2 linked regions of the Caenorhabditis elegans genome follow. The protein of the gene in region 1 interacts with the protein of each later gene in a biochemical or structural test. Each region holds a gene or a part of one and is shown in the gene's direction. Other genes may lie near its edges. The genes, in order: ppk-3 and slc-36.1.

Region 1 (8,105 bases):
CGATCATATCTATTCTTTTTTCCGAAAGTTCGTTATCGCACCGAAATTCAGAAAACTAATCAGATTTCTATTTTTGAATATGTCAGCAGAACATTATTTGCAACGTGGTGGCAACCAGTAAGTAATTTTTTATGTTCCTTTGCAAATTTTTGAAAATCTTACAGCCAATTGCAAGTCAAGAAACTACTACAATACGAGATACAACTACTTCTACTACTGCTGAACTGGAAACTGCTCCAGAAACTGCTCTAGAAGCTGTGGACGAACCAAAATGGGACCTGTAAGTTTTTCTTACCGACATTCTACTCCACCGTCCGCTAACTTCAACCCATTCCACATTTCTCTGTATATCAATCATATTCACTGAACCGCGAACTCTTCCGGTCACACGATCAATTGGAAATGAATCTATTTCGTTTTCTTTTGAAAAGCTCATAGTGAATACTGAAATTTGCCATATGGGGAAATTGTATTTAAAAAAAAAAATATAATAGAAGCAAGAAATTGTCAACATGTTAATAAAACATAATCTGCATTTTCAGATAGTTAATAAACTTAGAAAAAAAACGGTATTCTCAAAAATTTGTACGACTCTCAGTAACTTGCTAAATAAGTAAAAAGGCAACAAGTGTGGTAAGGTCGCGAGACTAGCCGGGGGCCGATTTGAAAAATGAGTAGGAGATGGTCTCTCTAGAGGGTGTCCGGTGCCGACGAGATAAATATTGGGCGAATTCACTTGGGGGCGTCGCCGCGGCATCTTGGCGGGGCTCACAATTTTTTCGATGCTCAGAGATCAATGGTGACATGCCGTGGCCAGTGAGAAAATTTGAACGAGGAAGCATGTGAAAAGTTGGATAATATAATTGGTACTTTAATTAGCATTCCAGAATTGTAAAGCATGACATGTGAAATATTGTTCTATTATGACGACTTATACTTCGGTTAATTTCAGTATTAGCAAAAAATCTGTCAAAAACGTAGAAAAATATTTGCACATATTTTGTCGAAACAGTTACGGTAGAGAGGAAAATGTATATACATAATGTCATTTAATGCTCTTCTGGATCTCGTCTGGTCTTAAAAGCATTGTCTGTCATGTATTTTTTGTAGGTTGAAATTGAAAATTGTCTTACTAAAATTTGTTATTTATTTCATAAATAATTACTTTTAAACCTCAACTTCACTCATAAGAACAGCAATGCTTATGAGGAAGTATTCGTCATAGTTTGGTGGTACTGATTGAAGCAATACAGACATTACAGACTCATCACTGTGACCAGCTGCACATTGCGCAACACGTTTGCAGTAGTGTGGCAAAGTTGCATCTGACATGCATTCCCAGTTTTATTTGATTTTTGTTCACGCTCCTGGTGTTAATTTTATTAGTTGTGATCGCAGAGCATGAGATTCTGCTCTTTTTTTGGTTTTTGGTTTCCCATACATTATTGTCGATTTTCGAGCGGAGTTGAGAATAAAACTTAGAAAAAAATTGCACTTTTTTCAATATATATAAGAAAGATTTCGCAATCTTTTCTGAAATATCAATATGAGTTTTTTCCCGGGAAATAAACAGCGAAACATGGAACACTGCATGTACACACCTTGTTTTTTTCCGCCTATCCGTCTAATTGCGCGGGAATAACTTTTCTTTGCTGACCCAAAGAGGTCAGCAAATGCGCTCCTCTGCCAACACCCTCCTGTTTTAGCACAGTCTCTCGCTAGCAACACTGCCTCCGCAACTTGCCTGTTTTGATGGTTTGATCTTTCTTTCATTTCCCCATGCCGCTCACTTGGATCTCTTCCTTCTTTTTCTCCAATTAAATCTCTCTGCTAGTGCTTTGTTATATATTTATCCAAATACTCGGATCTATCAATTCCAGAGTAATGGGGGATGCCAGCGAGTTGCAGTTTTTTGAAAAACTCGAGCCACCACCAGAAACAGAAGAACCAACACCAGTTTCCGGTAAGTTTTTTGTGTGATTTGAATTATTTTTATTAATAAAAGTTGATAGTGTCTTCAGGTGGTTACTTTTCAAACATTATTGGGCAAATATTCCGAAGCGATGGATCGCCGCAGCCAAACGGAGTTGTGCCTCCCACAGAAGAAAGACAGAACTTGGAGAGGACGGAGTCTGGAGGTAGATTTTCATCGACTAAAAATATATAACAATTATTTTGTGCATTTTTCGGAGAAACAAATTTTGCAATTCATTTCGATTCTGATGAATTGTTTGATTTTAATAACTCTATAATATAAAAACATCGGAAATTTTCTTATTATCTGATCGACAAACAATGATCCTCTATTCCAGAATCCCGAACATCCGAAGAAAGTGGCTTTCAAAGATCTTTAACCGATAAGTTCACAGGATTACTCAAATCAAAAGTTAACCCGCAGCTCAAAGACTACAACGACAGCAATTTCAGTAAGTATTTCATATTCTATAAGCACTCTGACGTCAATTCAAATTTTTTTAGAACAATACTGGATGCCTGACTCAACGGGAAGAGAGTGTTACCAGTGCGAAGAACGGTTCACAACTTTCCGACGACGTCATCATTGTCGACTTTGCGGACAGATTTTCTGTGCAAAATGTTGTAGTAGTCACATTGACGGAGCAGCTTTGGGATACATGGGCGAGCTCAGACTTTGTGATTACTGTGCTCGAAAGGTTCAACGACTTGCCGAAGAGGGAAAGCAGACGCCGACGACGTCGACGACAAGAAGTCAGACGCCAGTGAACAGCAGAAAAATTAGCTTTGATAGGAATACTGCACACAAGAATTCGGATACTGTGAGAACAGTTTCGAATGGTGAGATTTTCCGATTCCAAGAGGGCATTAGGATTCTTAGTTTAATTTTTTATTGTCTTTTTAAAAATGTATCTACGAGGCTTGAGCTTTCAAGAACACTGGCAGTTGTTCATATTTTCACAACGACATAACTCTATTAGTTTAGCTAAACACAAACATTCTACATAGAAATTAAAGACAAATAATTTCAGGAGCTATTTGGTCACTCTGCCCCCCAGAATCGTCGATGCCTCCGGAAATTACATCCCCACCTCAACTTGGAAGCCGCCGCAACTCGTTGGCTCAAAGTAGCAATGGTCCAGGAGTTCCGACAATTCTATCAGTTGCGGATCTCTGTGCATCAAACTCGGCTATGCTCACAAACAGTCATTCCCATCCAATGATCACCGAGGAAGAGGAATCGGGACCAGACTGGTTTCGAACAATGCATCCTGGAATGGACGGTGTTATCAACAATGAAGTGAGGAAGCTTAAATATTTAATTGTGGAAATAATTTATTATTTTGTTTGACTTTCAGACTTCCGACTCAGCTGATGTTTTTGCGTATGCAAATCTCGCTGGAGCGATAACCAACGAGTTTACAGAAATGATGGATGCCAGAGCTGCGGAGCCAACCTCAGCCACTACTGATCGTAAAATCACCTTTCCGTCCCTGTCACTTGATGAATCCGTTATGAACGCAGCGAAGGAAGAACAGCGGGACAATTTGGAAGAGTTGTTCCGCCGAAATACTGAACGAATTCTAGACGAAGTGATGAAACGAGAGTACATCCGAGAAGACAAATGGAGAGATCTAATTCTGAAGAGTGTCTATGAAGTAGTGGAGAATGTAACTGTGAACGTTCCAAGTGGAGACACAATGAATATTGCTGACTACGTACACGTCAAGAAAGTTCACAAGAAAGAAGGGAAAGTTGATTCGGAAATCATTTGGGGAGTGGCTTGCAGTAGAAGTTTAGTCTACAAAAGTTTGTCAGAAGAAGATGAAAGCAGCCATACGACCGAGTCAATTATGATTGTTAGCGGTTCAATTGAATATGAAAGAGTCTCAAACAAACTTTCATCTATTGAGCCGATTATTGTGCAAGAAGAGAAATTTTTAGAGAAGCAGGTGCGTATGTTCATGGAAATAGTCATTAACTGTGTGTGTGTCAGATTTAGTTGCTAATCTAAAAGTTGACAATATGAATAAGTACCACACGTCTGAATAAATGCACTTGTATTATACAACCATTGAAATCGAAACTAAATAGAATAAACAATTTTCCAGATTGATCGAATTGCCACCAAACGTGCTTCATTGATTCTAGTGGAAGGAGGAGTCTCGCATATCGCTGCTCAACTGCTTCACAAGCGTGGAATCAAAGTAGCGGTCAATGTGAAAATGAGTATATTACAACGTATTTCAAGAGCCACTGGAGCTGATATTGTCTCAAACTCAGATTCTCAGTTGGTTGAGCAAAATTTAGGATGTTGCCCGGAATTTCAACAACGGAATATGCAACAGGAGGACGGAAGGATCAAGACTTTGATGATCTTTGCTGATTGCCAAAAGGAAACTGGATGTACAGTGCTCTTGCATGGAGATGATTTGAAAGAATTAGTGGCCGTGAAACGTGTTGTGCAGTTCCTGGTCACTATTGTCTACTCTAATTACTTGGAGCAATCCTATCTAAATGCTTTTAATACTACAATTGCGAGGAGACAATCTGATTGCGTTGTTTGTGAAAAACGCCGTGCTATCGTTTACTCGCAGGGTGAAAAGGTTGATGGTTTATCAACATCGTTTCTCATATGTTTTTGTATTTTCAGACTGAATTTGAAAAGAATCTCTATGCGACGATGCTGTCAAGCTCACCAGTGATTGAATTTGAGCCACCACTTTTGGAGACTGCAACCGGGAGGTGAGTGAAAAGAGCGCCTCATAAAAATCTGCAAACACGGTCACGTCAGAGTGCACACTGCGGGCAATTTATGAAATAATCATATTAAAGCAATTGTAAAAGTTTTGCCTAACACAACACTAAACCTAGCCTAACATAGAAGTTTTTTAAAAATATATTTCTAGCATGAATATCTAATCAGTTAAAAAGATTAGTTTACAATTCATGAAAACGACTTCTATTCATAAAAATATTTTTCAAAAACATGCATAATTTTTCAACATAGATTCAAAATTAAATTTAAAAAAACACCAGAAAAATTTATTCACAAATTTCAGGGAATGTCCGCTCATTGCCTACTTCAAGCAACCACTGTATAAACTTTTAAAGCCTGGCGATGTTGAGCTCATCAAGCAAGGATACGAAGAAGATATTGTACCTATCCCAAAGAAAGAACCACTTCTGGTAGACCGTCGACACGCTTTTGCTCAATGTAATCGTGGTGCGATCCTTGACAATGTGGCAAGATCTTTCCGCCTTTTTGGAGGAATCAATTTTCGGCGACGAACTGCTCAAATTGTGAAGCATAGAAAAATTGTGGAGACCGAGAAGCAGCCATTCCGTGCAAAGGATGTTTTAGATCCAAGAGTTCATCAGACACTTGCTGTCCTTTTTGGCTCGTTTTCTCGAAAGTCACCCAACGCTCCGTACTTTTGTGTACGTCCGTGGGTGGTAAGTATGCAGTACTACAAGGACCATGATATGACAATCGGAGAGTTTCTTGTGAAGTTCTGTTTTAATCGTAGTTATGAATGTCCGTCATCAAACTGTGAGGTACCTATGCTGGATCATTCAAGAAAGTTGGTTTATGGAAAAGTTTGCGTAGAAATTTCAACTCAAACTGTGAACGAAGCAGAAAACGCCATAGAATCAGAACAGCAGAAGAGCATCATGACATGGCGAAATTGTGGAAAGTAAGAACATTATTTTCGCTTTTATTAAACTTTTTTTTTAAATTTCGTTATTTTCAGATGCAACTGTTCATCACAAATGGTGAAATTTGACAAAGCAATCTGGCATCTGTCGTTTGCAAAATTCTTAGAGTACATTGGAAATTCGTGCTTCACCACCGACACAATCTACCCAATAACTAATCAGAATCAATGCTCGCATTGCTTTTTCCATGAAAAGTTGTACTTTTTTGCAATGGATAATTTGGTGACAACATTCAAAGTAATAGCGGTAAGTTTTGTTCAACAAAAATTGAAGAAACAGAAACATACTAAAAATACAAAGTATTTAATTTTTAAATAGTTTTAATGTTTGAGAAGCGATTTTTTATTTTAATATAAGCATACTTTATAAAACTTTATAAAATCAGCAAAGCCTTATATTTTCAGATACGCCCCTACAGTGTTGTCTTCTCGCCCATCATTTGCAGCGTCAAGGTTTTGAAAGTGAGCAGAAAAGAGCTCTCGGACGATGTCAGCAGGATAGCCACTCTTGCGCTGACTGCTTGTGAGGACACCAACAAACAGCTGGCAGAACTTGATGAGGAAGTTCAGATCACTCCGATAGTTGTCAAACTGGCTGGTGCAATCCGGAACACAATGGCATTGGCAAGCGAGAGCAGGATGTTTGCTAAAAACATTCTCTCTGGTGATGAGGATCTTATCCGGTCAAATGATCGGTTGTACAGAGAAGTAACTGGCACATTTATGAAAGTGAGAGAAGTAACATACAATCTGATTGCTCTTTGGAATGAGAATTGTGCAGCAATTAAGTATCCCAAGAGAACTCCAGAAGATATTCAAGAGATTGCCACACTTCAAAAACTGGAAAATCCGTTTCCCTCTCATCTTCACCTTGCCATCAAGCTACAACCCAGACTTGGAGTAGTGGTACGAGATATTCAAGACACTCGAGGAAACTTCAAGCCAGATATTGGGAGTATCATTGCATACGCATTGTCTGCAGTTGACTACAATAAGATCCCTGAGGCAGCTGACACTGTTTCAATGGACTCGGCTAGCTCTTCTCTGAAATTTTCACAGATGGATGATGGGGAAAACCTCGCTTCTAGTCAACACTTGGAGGTGGAATTTGAGGATGAATCTGCGTCATACTATGTGAAAGTAAGTCTGCTATATATTATGAGAAAATTCCCTTGTAATCTCACCCTCAATTTTTTTTGTTTTTGTATATTGGAGCCTTTATTTTCAGATGCCTCATTAAAAAGTGCAACATTTTCAATTGGTCTAGGGCACATATAGAATATTAAATAAAGTTGTTATTACGTCTAGACGCTGAAAATAGATGTAATGTAAAAAAATGGGCCTTAAAATGTGACAAAATTATATCAATTTTTTCAGATGCTGTACGCCGAGAAATTCCGAAAACTTCGTGAACTTCTCATTGCAGAAGGAGAAGAGACTTTTATCCGTTCCCTCTCCAACAGCACTTTCTGGACACCACAAGGTGGAAAATCCGGCTCATTTTTCTACCGCACTCAAGATGATCGATTTGTGGTGAAGCAAATGTCACGGTTTGAGATTCAGTCATTTGTAAAGTTTGCCCCCAACTATTTTGATTATCTGACAACGTCGGCGACCGAAAGCAAATTGACGACCCTGTGCAAAGTATATGGAGTGTTTAGAATAGGATACAAGAGCAAGACGACTACATTGAAAGTTGACATTCTTGTAATGGAGTACCTGTTTTACAATCACAATGTTAGCCAAGTCTGGGACCTGAAGGGCTCTCTTCGGAATAGGTGGGTTATAGGTATATACTGATAATAATAGTACAAATAACCAAATTTTCCCGGTTGTTGTATTTAGATAATTTCTGACGTACTTTGCTTTTAAGTGTATTATGACTAATTGATCATACATTTTTTCTTTGTGTTTTTAAAGATCATATGACGTTTTTTTAGACTCGCATCGACTGGAAAAAGCGCCAACGAGATGGTTCTTTTGGACGAAAACTTTGTGAAAGACCTCTGGAATCAGCAGCTCTATGTGCTGCCGCACTCAAAAGCGGCCATGAATCAAGCGATCAGCAATGACAGCCACTTCCTGAGCTCTCAATACATCATGGACTACTCGCTTCTGGTTGGTGTCGACGATGACAACGGAGAATTGATTCTGGGCATTGTTGACTACATGAGAACGTATACGTTGGATAAGGTCAGTGTTTGAACGTTTAACTTTGCGATAAACTCTGATTGATTTCTGGAATGAACATGACTTTTTGATGAGAAGTTTATATTGACGTAGAGCTAGGTAGAAAATTGACAAAAAGATAGAATAGATATCGACTTATTTTCTACCGTTTAAGTCTGAAAATAAAATCAATCCTTTAAATTTCCCATACAGTCACTTATTTTGAATAAACAATTTTCAGAA
Region 2 (7,910 bases), on another chromosome or scaffold:
ATTGACATTGATATTGGTCAGCATTAGAATAAAAAAGCTTTAAAACCTACCATTCGAATGATGCACTCGGATTGCTTCATAGCACGCTCCTTCAACTGCTCAGTCTTCCGAACAACTTCCTCCTTGAGAGAAAGAATCTCTGCAGAATTGTTCGCATCGTTGAAGCGGACTTCAGCCGGCGCGATTCCTTGCTTCAGGTCAGCATTCTCTTTCTGAAGGCGCTTCAGTTGAGCTTGTAGGATGGCGATCTCCTCGGCTTTCGGATTTTTGTTGACTATCGGCTTGTTCTTGATCTGCTTGGCACGATCTGCATAGCGAAGCGTGTTGAGAGTCTCTTGAGAGTTGGAATCAGCGGGAGAGATGCAGGCAAGAAAGACTGTGAACGAATTTCCACCGAGAGAATCTTGAAGGACGCGGGTGATCACAGAGTTTCTGTATGGGATGTGCTTCTGCTTCGTGGCCAACGCTGCGATGACTTGGGAAAGAATCAAAAGTCCACCATTGATGTTGATGCCTTCTTTCATACGATTTCCTTCGGCTTCCGTCTTCTTCAGCCTCTCGGATCCAGCCAAATCGACCAATTGGAGCTTCGCGCTGAATGCGCTATCACACTCTGCAGTGGCAGTTTTCTCCACGAACACTGTGAAAACCGCATGAGACCTGCTGGACATGGCGTTCATCGCAGTTTCCGCCTTTGTTCGATAGTGGCATCCGACTGCCAGCTGCTTGAGCGCTCCCTTCAAATCGATAACAGGAACTGCCGTCAGATTCACGACGGTGCAGTTCTTCTCGTCTCCGTGCACATTCAGCTTGACTTTGTCCGGACGAAGAAGGTCGTACACGTTGTCTCCGTAGACCTCGAACATGGAAACGGTCACCGCAAACGATTCTGGAGCCTCGGTGTTCATGATTCTTTGGAACAACGCACTGACGAGACGCGGAATAATTCCACGACGCATTTCGTCGGTGCCAACGTTGTCTTCAGTGCCCATGGTGTAGGTCTTTCCACTTCCAGTTTGTCCATAAGCCAACACTGTCGCATTGAAACCCGCGAAAATTCGATCCAACAAGGGCAGTGCAGTTGTCTCGTAGACGCTCTCCTGATCCGACGTGTCAGCAAAGACCGCATCGAAGGTGAACGTTGCCGACTCGTTTATCACTATCTGAAAAACAAAGATTTTAGGATTTTTCGGATAAAACGCAGGAAAAAACTAACCTGCTTTGTGTTCTCGTAAAACTGGACACATCGACTTGCGCCTTCCTTAGTCTCTCGACCATTCATAGGCCGAGCACGGACCACAACCCGGAGAGAAGCATCGGAGCTCATCTCGGGAAGAAAACACGAAAATGAATGATTTTTCACGAATGAATGAGAGGGGGGGGGGGCGGAGGCTTTTGAAATCAAAATTTCGCGCCGCGAGTGTATTTACGGACAAGACGTCAGAGTTCACGCACAATTGCGGACCCAGTGAAAAAAAAAATGTTTTTCTGTTTTTATTTAATTAATGAAGAAGTTCTTCATCATTTTGCTCACTTTTCTCTGTATTTTAACATGTTTTCTTCCCGAGATTAAGCCATAAACCTTCGAAAATGAGCAAATTATCACTAAATATATTGATTTTAAAATAATTTTCAGCGAAAAATGGCGAATCCTGCCAGAGACGGCTATCAGGAATTTGATAATGAGCCGGAGGCCCCCGGAGATACAGAGGTACAGACACCACGAAGAAATACAGTTTCCGAGGACACATCGTTATTTCAAGATCGTCTTCCGACAGAAAATTCGTTGACTCCGGAGCAGGTGGATTATTTTTACTTTAAAATTTGTTAAAAATCAATTTTAAATTTAAATTTTTATAATTCAGGCATTCATCCACATGGTCAAAGCAATGTTAGGAACCGGATTATTGTCCCTTCCGCTAGCTTTCAAGCATTCTGGGCTTTTTGTTAGTTTTATTTTCTTCGCCTTTCTCTGAAAACCTGAAAACCCCCATAAATTCCAGCTCGGATTAATTCTCACAGTGCTCATCTGCCTGATATGTTTATATTGCATGCGGCAGGTCGTTTTTGCCGCTCATTTTGTGTGTAACAGGTGATTTAAGCGATTTTTAAAGGCGGAGTAGAGCCAAAAAAAAGTTTTTTTTTTGCTTCAAATGACAGAAAATATACTCAAATAACCGAATATAACTGTAAAAAATTTGAAAAAAATTCTAAATTTTTTATTGATTTTTTAAGTTTTTCAAAAATCAAAGAAACGGCCGAATTAAATAGTTTCTGGCTAAATTCGTCGTTTTTTCTAGATTTTTCTTCTATATTTGATTTAAAACACCATTGGCCAATTTTTAAAATAGTTTATCATGAAAAAATTAATAAAAAATATTAAATTGCGGATTTTGACATTTCTGGCAATTTCCTTAGGGTTATCAAGTTTTTTTTTCACGGAGAAACGGTTAAATAATTGATAAACGGTGTTTTAAATCAATATTTAACCGTTTTTCCGTTAAAAAAACTTGATAACCTTAGGGAAATTGTCATAAATGTCAAAATTGGCCTAAAATCCGCAATTTAATATTTTTTTAATAATTTTTTTCATGATAAACTATTTCAAAAATTGACCAATGGTGTTTTAAATCAAATATACAAAAAAAAACCGAGAAAACCCGACGAATTTATCCAGAAACGATTTAATTCGGCCGTTTCTTTGATTTTTGAAAAATTTAAAAAATCATTTAAAAAATTTAGAAAAATTTATTAAATTTTTTTACAGTTATATTCGGTTATTTGGGTATATTTTCTGTCATTTGAAGCAAGAATTTTGCTATTTTTGATGCAATTTTTTTCAGAAATGGTCGAGATCTCATCGATTATGCGAATATTATGCGAGGCGCCGTGGAAATGGGACCACCGTGGATAAAGCGGAATGGATACTTCTTCAAGTACGGGGAATTTTAAGGGTTTTTAACCCCAAAATTCTTTAATTTCAGACAACTTGTAAATGTAAATATGTTCATCTCTCAACTGGGCTTCTGCTGTGTATATTTTGTGTTTATGGCCGATAATTTGGAGGATGTAAGGGAAATTTTCCGAAAAAACTTACTCAAAATTAAGCTTTAATTGCAGTTTTTCAACAATAACACGTCAATTCATTTGTCAAAAGCAGTTTGGATGCTTCTGCTCCTTATTCCGATGCTCTCAATTTGTTCAATTCGTCGTCTTTCAATTCTTGCTCCATTTGCAATGGCTGCAAATGTTGTCTACGTGGTTGCAGTTGCCGTTGTTCTGTTTTTCTTCCTTTCAGGTGTGAAAAACTGGTTTTTTTCTTAGAAAATTTGAAATTCCCGCCAAAATGTATTTTTCTCAAGAAATTTGAATTTCCCGCCAAAAGTTGTTTCCCCGAAAATTAAAAAAAATCTCGCCGAAAAATTTAAAATTCCCGCTAAAGTTTTTCGCAGAAAATTTGAATTTTCCGCCTAAAATTTTATTCAGAAAATTTGAACTACCCAACAAAATGTAATTTTCTCAAAAAAATTTCTCTGAAAATTCGAAATTCCCGCGAAGATGTTTTTTCCAGAAAATTTGAATTTCCGTGAAGCCTCAAAAAAAATTTAAATTCCCAATTTTTTTTCCAGATCTCCGGCCAATTTCTTCTCTCCCGTGGTTCGGAAAAGCCACGGATTTGCCACTTTTCTTCGGAACTGTAATGTTCGCGTTCGAAGGAGTCGCTGTGGTAAGCGGATTTTCTGGAGATCGATCTGTGAATTTTGCAAGCCTGCGGCACGGTTTTAATGGCAAAACTGGCAAAACTAGGCTCCGCCTTGACAGTTCGAATAAATTTATTTATATAAAATCCAACTAATTTCAGATAATGCCAATTGAAAATCGAATGCAATCTCCACATGCGTTCATTTCTTGGAATGGAGTTTTGAACTCATCCTGCCTTGTCGTTCTCGCGATTTTCAGCGTTACTGGATTCTATGGGTACGGTGGGAAACAAGGAGAAATTGCCGAGTTTCTTTGAAAAAAAATTGAAAATTGTTAGATTTTCTTTAAAATAATCAAAATTTTTCGATTTTTCTGAAAAAACAAATTGGAAATTATTAGATTTTCTCTGAAAATAATCAAATTTTTCTGATTTCCTGTGAAAAAAAAATCAAAATAGTCGATTTTTTCTGAAAAAAAATAAAATTTCGAGTTTCCCTGGAAAAAAAAACAATTTTTATCGATTTTCTCTGAAAATAACATTGACAATTGCTAGATTTTCTGTGAGAAAAATCAAAAATTTTCGATGTTCTTTGAACAAAATAACAAAAATTTTCGATATTTTTTGAAAAAAAGCAATTTTTTTCGTTTTTTTCTGAAAAAAAATTGGAAAATGTTAGATTTTCTCTGAAAAAATCAAAATTTTCTGATTTTCTGTGAAAAAAAATCAAAATTTTTCGATTTTCTCTTAAAAAACTTAAAAAATTTCGATTATCTGTGAAAAAAAATAATTTTTTTTTCGATTTTCTCTGAAAAAAAAATTGAAAATTATTAGATTTTCTCTGAAAAAATCAAGATTTTCCGTTTTTCTGTGAAAAAAATCAAAATTTTTCCGATTTTCTCTGGTAAAAATTACAATTCTTTCGATTTTCTCTATTTAAAAAAAATCGGTTTTCTCTTTGAAAGTAAAACTTTCCGATTTTCACTTAAAAAAATATAAAAAATTTTGATTTTCTCTTGCAGAAATTACAATTTTTTCGATTTCATGGGAAATTCCTAATTTTCTTTAAAATTTTTTAATTTTCTTCCAGATATTTATCACTTGGAAATGATGTCAAAGACACAGCTACCCTCAATTTGCCAATGACACCGTAAGTTTAATGATGAAGAGAGAGAGTGAGAGAGAGTTTAGAGAAGCAGAGATAATTGTTTGGACTTTGATCAACTGACCGTTTACGCTTTTGTGTCTGTGTATGTGACTCAATAATAACAGAAGAGAAATTAAATAACAAATGTGTTACGAATTGGGGGCTAACTGAATAATAATATTAAAAAATTGGATTTTTTCAGGTAAAATCGAAAAAATTCTTCGAAAAAGTAAATAGAAAATTTCCGATTTCTCGTTTTTGAAACGATTCGGAGTAAAATCAAAAAATTTCAGTTTTCAGAGTGAACCGAGAAATTGCGGATTTTGCTTAAAATCCCTAGAAAATCTCTTTAAAAGTAGAGAAGTTCGCGAAAATTTCCGTAAATTCAAATTTTTTAATTTCAAAAACAAATTGTGCTATATAAATACGAGGAAAAATCAAGAAAAATCAAGAAAATCAAGAAAAAACCAGTAAATTTAGCTGGGTAACGTAAAAATGCAATAAAAATTTTTTTTTTAATTCTTTTAATTTTTGAGACTGTTTTCAATCATTTAGAGCGAAATTTTTATTCACAATATTGCTATAATTGCTTGGGACACAATTTTATTGTAAAAAAGGCAGAAATTCTTTTAAAAATGCATTGAATACCAGTTTTCCTTGCTATTAAATTTTTTAAAAATTACTTTTTAACAATTTCAGATTCTATCAAACGAATTTGGGGGTTAACTGAATAATAATATTAAAAAATCGATTTTTTTCAGGTAAAATCGAACAAAATTCTTCAAAAAGCTGAAAAATTTCCGATTTCTCGTTTTTGACACAATTCAGAGAAAAATCAAAAAATTATATAACTCAAAAAATGAATTTTTTTAATTCGAAAAACGAAAAGTTGGGGAAACTGTACTTTAAAAAAGAGAAGATGTAGTATAAATATGTGGATTTTGTTTAAAATACTAAGAAAATCTCTTTAAAAGTAGAGAAATTCGCGGAAATTTCCGTAAATTCAAATTTTTTAATTTCAAAGTCAAGAAAAAACCAGTAAATTTAGCTGGGTAACGTAAAAATGCAAAAAAAAATTAAAAAAAAACATTCTTTCAATTTTTGAGACTGTTTTCTATCATTTACAGCGAAATTTTCATTCACAATATTGCTATAATTGCTTGGAACAAAAGTTTTTTTGTAAAAAAGGCAGAAATTCTTCTAACAATGCCTAAAAAATAATTTTTCAAAATTACTTTTTTAGCAATTTCAGATTCTATCAAACGATAAAATTAATGTTCACGAACTGGGGGCCATCAATAAAAAATATGTCAAAAAAAAAAATAAATAATGAAAAAATTTTTTTTTTTTTAAATCAGAATAATTTTAAAAAAATTCAATTTCAGATTCTATCAAACGATAAAATTAATGTTTGTGGCGTGCATCATGATCTCCTATCCTCTTCAATTCTATGTGCCAATGGAAAGAATCGAAAAATGGATTACTAGAAAGGTTTTTTGGAGAAATTTCCATGAAAATTGGTCAAAATTCTTCAAAATTTCAGATTCCCGTCGATAAACAAACATTGTACATCTACATTGCCAGATATTCCGGAGTTATTTTGACTTGTAAGTTTCAAAAAAAAAATATTATTCGCAAAAATTATTTTTTTTTTCATTTTCCGTTTAAAAAAATCTAAAATTGACCTAAATATCGATAATTTAAGTTTTTTTGTTGCGGAAAAATTGTGTTTCAAAAATAATAATCAAATAATAAGTTTAGAAAAAAATCATAACAAATTTAGAAAATTTTAATAAATTTTTAAACAGTTATATTTGGTAAATTGAGACTTTTTCTGACATTTTTGATCAAAAAAATAAAATAATTGGTCTAAAAATCGATAATTATACATTTATTTAAACTTTTTTCGCAGAAAATTGTGTTTCAAATCGATAATGAAATAAAAATTGAGAGAATTTCGGTAAATCCAGACTTTTTCTGAGACATTTTGGAAATATACTATAAAAATTGCACATAAAAATCAAAGGTTTTTTTTCAGGTTGATATCAAATAATTAATTTAGACGAGAAAAAAATTATATAAAAATTTAGAAAAAAACTGATTTTTTCTAATTTTTTGAAAAAAAATTTCCAGGTGCAATAGCTGAGCTTATTCCTCATTTGGCTCTTTTCATCTCATTAATCGGAGCATTTTCTGGAGCTTCAATGGCTCTTCTCTTCCCTCCGTGCATTGAACTTTTGGTAGGAATTTTTGAATTCCAATTTTTTTAAATTAATTAAAAATGAAAAAAATTGAATTTTTTTCAGACATCCTACGCGAAAAACGAGTTGAGCACTGGATTATGGATCAAAAATATCGTTCTTCTCACTTTTGCCTTTATTGGATTCACAACGGGAACCTATAGTGCACTTATCGAAATTGCAAAAACTTTTGCATAGATTTAAATATCTATAATATTTAAATATTTTCAGCGTTTTAGCTGGAAATTCCCAGAATTTTATTGCACCTTTATGGAATTTTTTGGAATTTTTTTTTGTATATTTCGTGTCCTTCCTTGTCGGTTGTTCAATTTGTGATGATGATTTTTTCATATTTTTGCGGCATTTTTTTTTCATTTTCGTTTCATTCCCGAATAACATGTACTATTTATTTTGTTAATAAAATTCGAGCTTCTGTGAATATTTTTTATCGAATTTTTTGAAATATTATTTAAATGTGGTATCAATTTTAACCAATTTATTTAAATATCTCGATTCAATTTTATATTACCCAGCCGCAAAATTTTGCAATTTTCACACTAAAAATACGGTACCCGGTCTCACAACGACAATATTTTGTTAAATACAAACGGGCGTGCACCTTTAAAGAGTACTGTAGTTTCAAACTTGTGTTGCTGCAAATCATGAAATTCCGTACGTTTCAACAAAAGTTTGAAATTACAGTACTCTTTAAAGGCGCACACCTTTTCCGCATTTAACCAATATTTGCCGTGGCGAGACCGGGAAAACCGAAAAATTGGAAAAATGTTTAGAAAATTAACAAAAAAAACTATTTTTTATCAAA

What was found.
Region 2: the proteins of ppk-3 (region 1) and slc-36.1 form a complex in vitro, tested with the Caenorhabditis elegans proteins (one study listed by BioGRID).

What each region holds. Positions count from the first base shown.
Region 1 is NC_003284.9:12,969,423-12,977,527, reverse strand, and holds the start of ppk-3 (1-phosphatidylinositol-3-phosphate 5-kinase), read left to right. Parts: upstream 1-1,884; coding exon 1,885-1,963; intron 1,964-2,012; coding exon 2,013-2,138; intron 2,139-2,312; coding exon 2,313-2,426; intron 2,427-2,478; coding exon 2,479-2,814; intron 2,815-3,005; coding exon 3,006-3,274; intron 3,275-3,332; coding exon 3,333-3,926; intron 3,927-4,085; coding exon 4,086-4,580; intron 4,581-4,627; coding exon 4,628-4,719; intron 4,720-5,036; coding exon 5,037-5,672; intron 5,673-5,729; coding exon 5,730-5,940; intron 5,941-6,098; coding exon 6,099-6,833; intron 6,834-7,070; coding exon 7,071-7,471; intron 7,472-7,633; coding exon 7,634-7,886; intron 7,887-8,103; coding exon 8,104-8,105. Other genes in the region: F11C1.9 (uncharacterized protein), read left to right, coding at 1-117, 165-284; F11C1.10 (Photosystem reaction center subunit H), read right to left, coding at 296-436.
Region 2 is NC_003281.10:13,305,866-13,313,775, forward strand, and holds slc-36.1 (Amino acid transporter transmembrane domain-containing protein), read left to right. Parts: upstream 1-1,636; 5' UTR 1,637-1,642; coding exon 1,643-1,801; intron 1,802-1,865; coding exon 1,866-1,946; intron 1,947-2,003; coding exon 2,004-2,092; intron 2,093-2,843; coding exon 2,844-2,936; intron 2,937-2,984; coding exon 2,985-3,069; intron 3,070-3,120; coding exon 3,121-3,298; intron 3,299-3,629; coding exon 3,630-3,727; intron 3,728-3,862; coding exon 3,863-3,978; intron 3,979-4,790; coding exon 4,791-4,850; intron 4,851-6,232; coding exon 6,233-6,338; intron 6,339-6,390; coding exon 6,391-6,454; intron 6,455-6,980; coding exon 6,981-7,087; intron 7,088-7,153; coding exon 7,154-7,285; 3' UTR 7,286-7,524; downstream 7,525-7,910. Other genes in the region: Kinesin-like protein klp-19, read right to left, coding at 51-1,163, 1,217-1,327.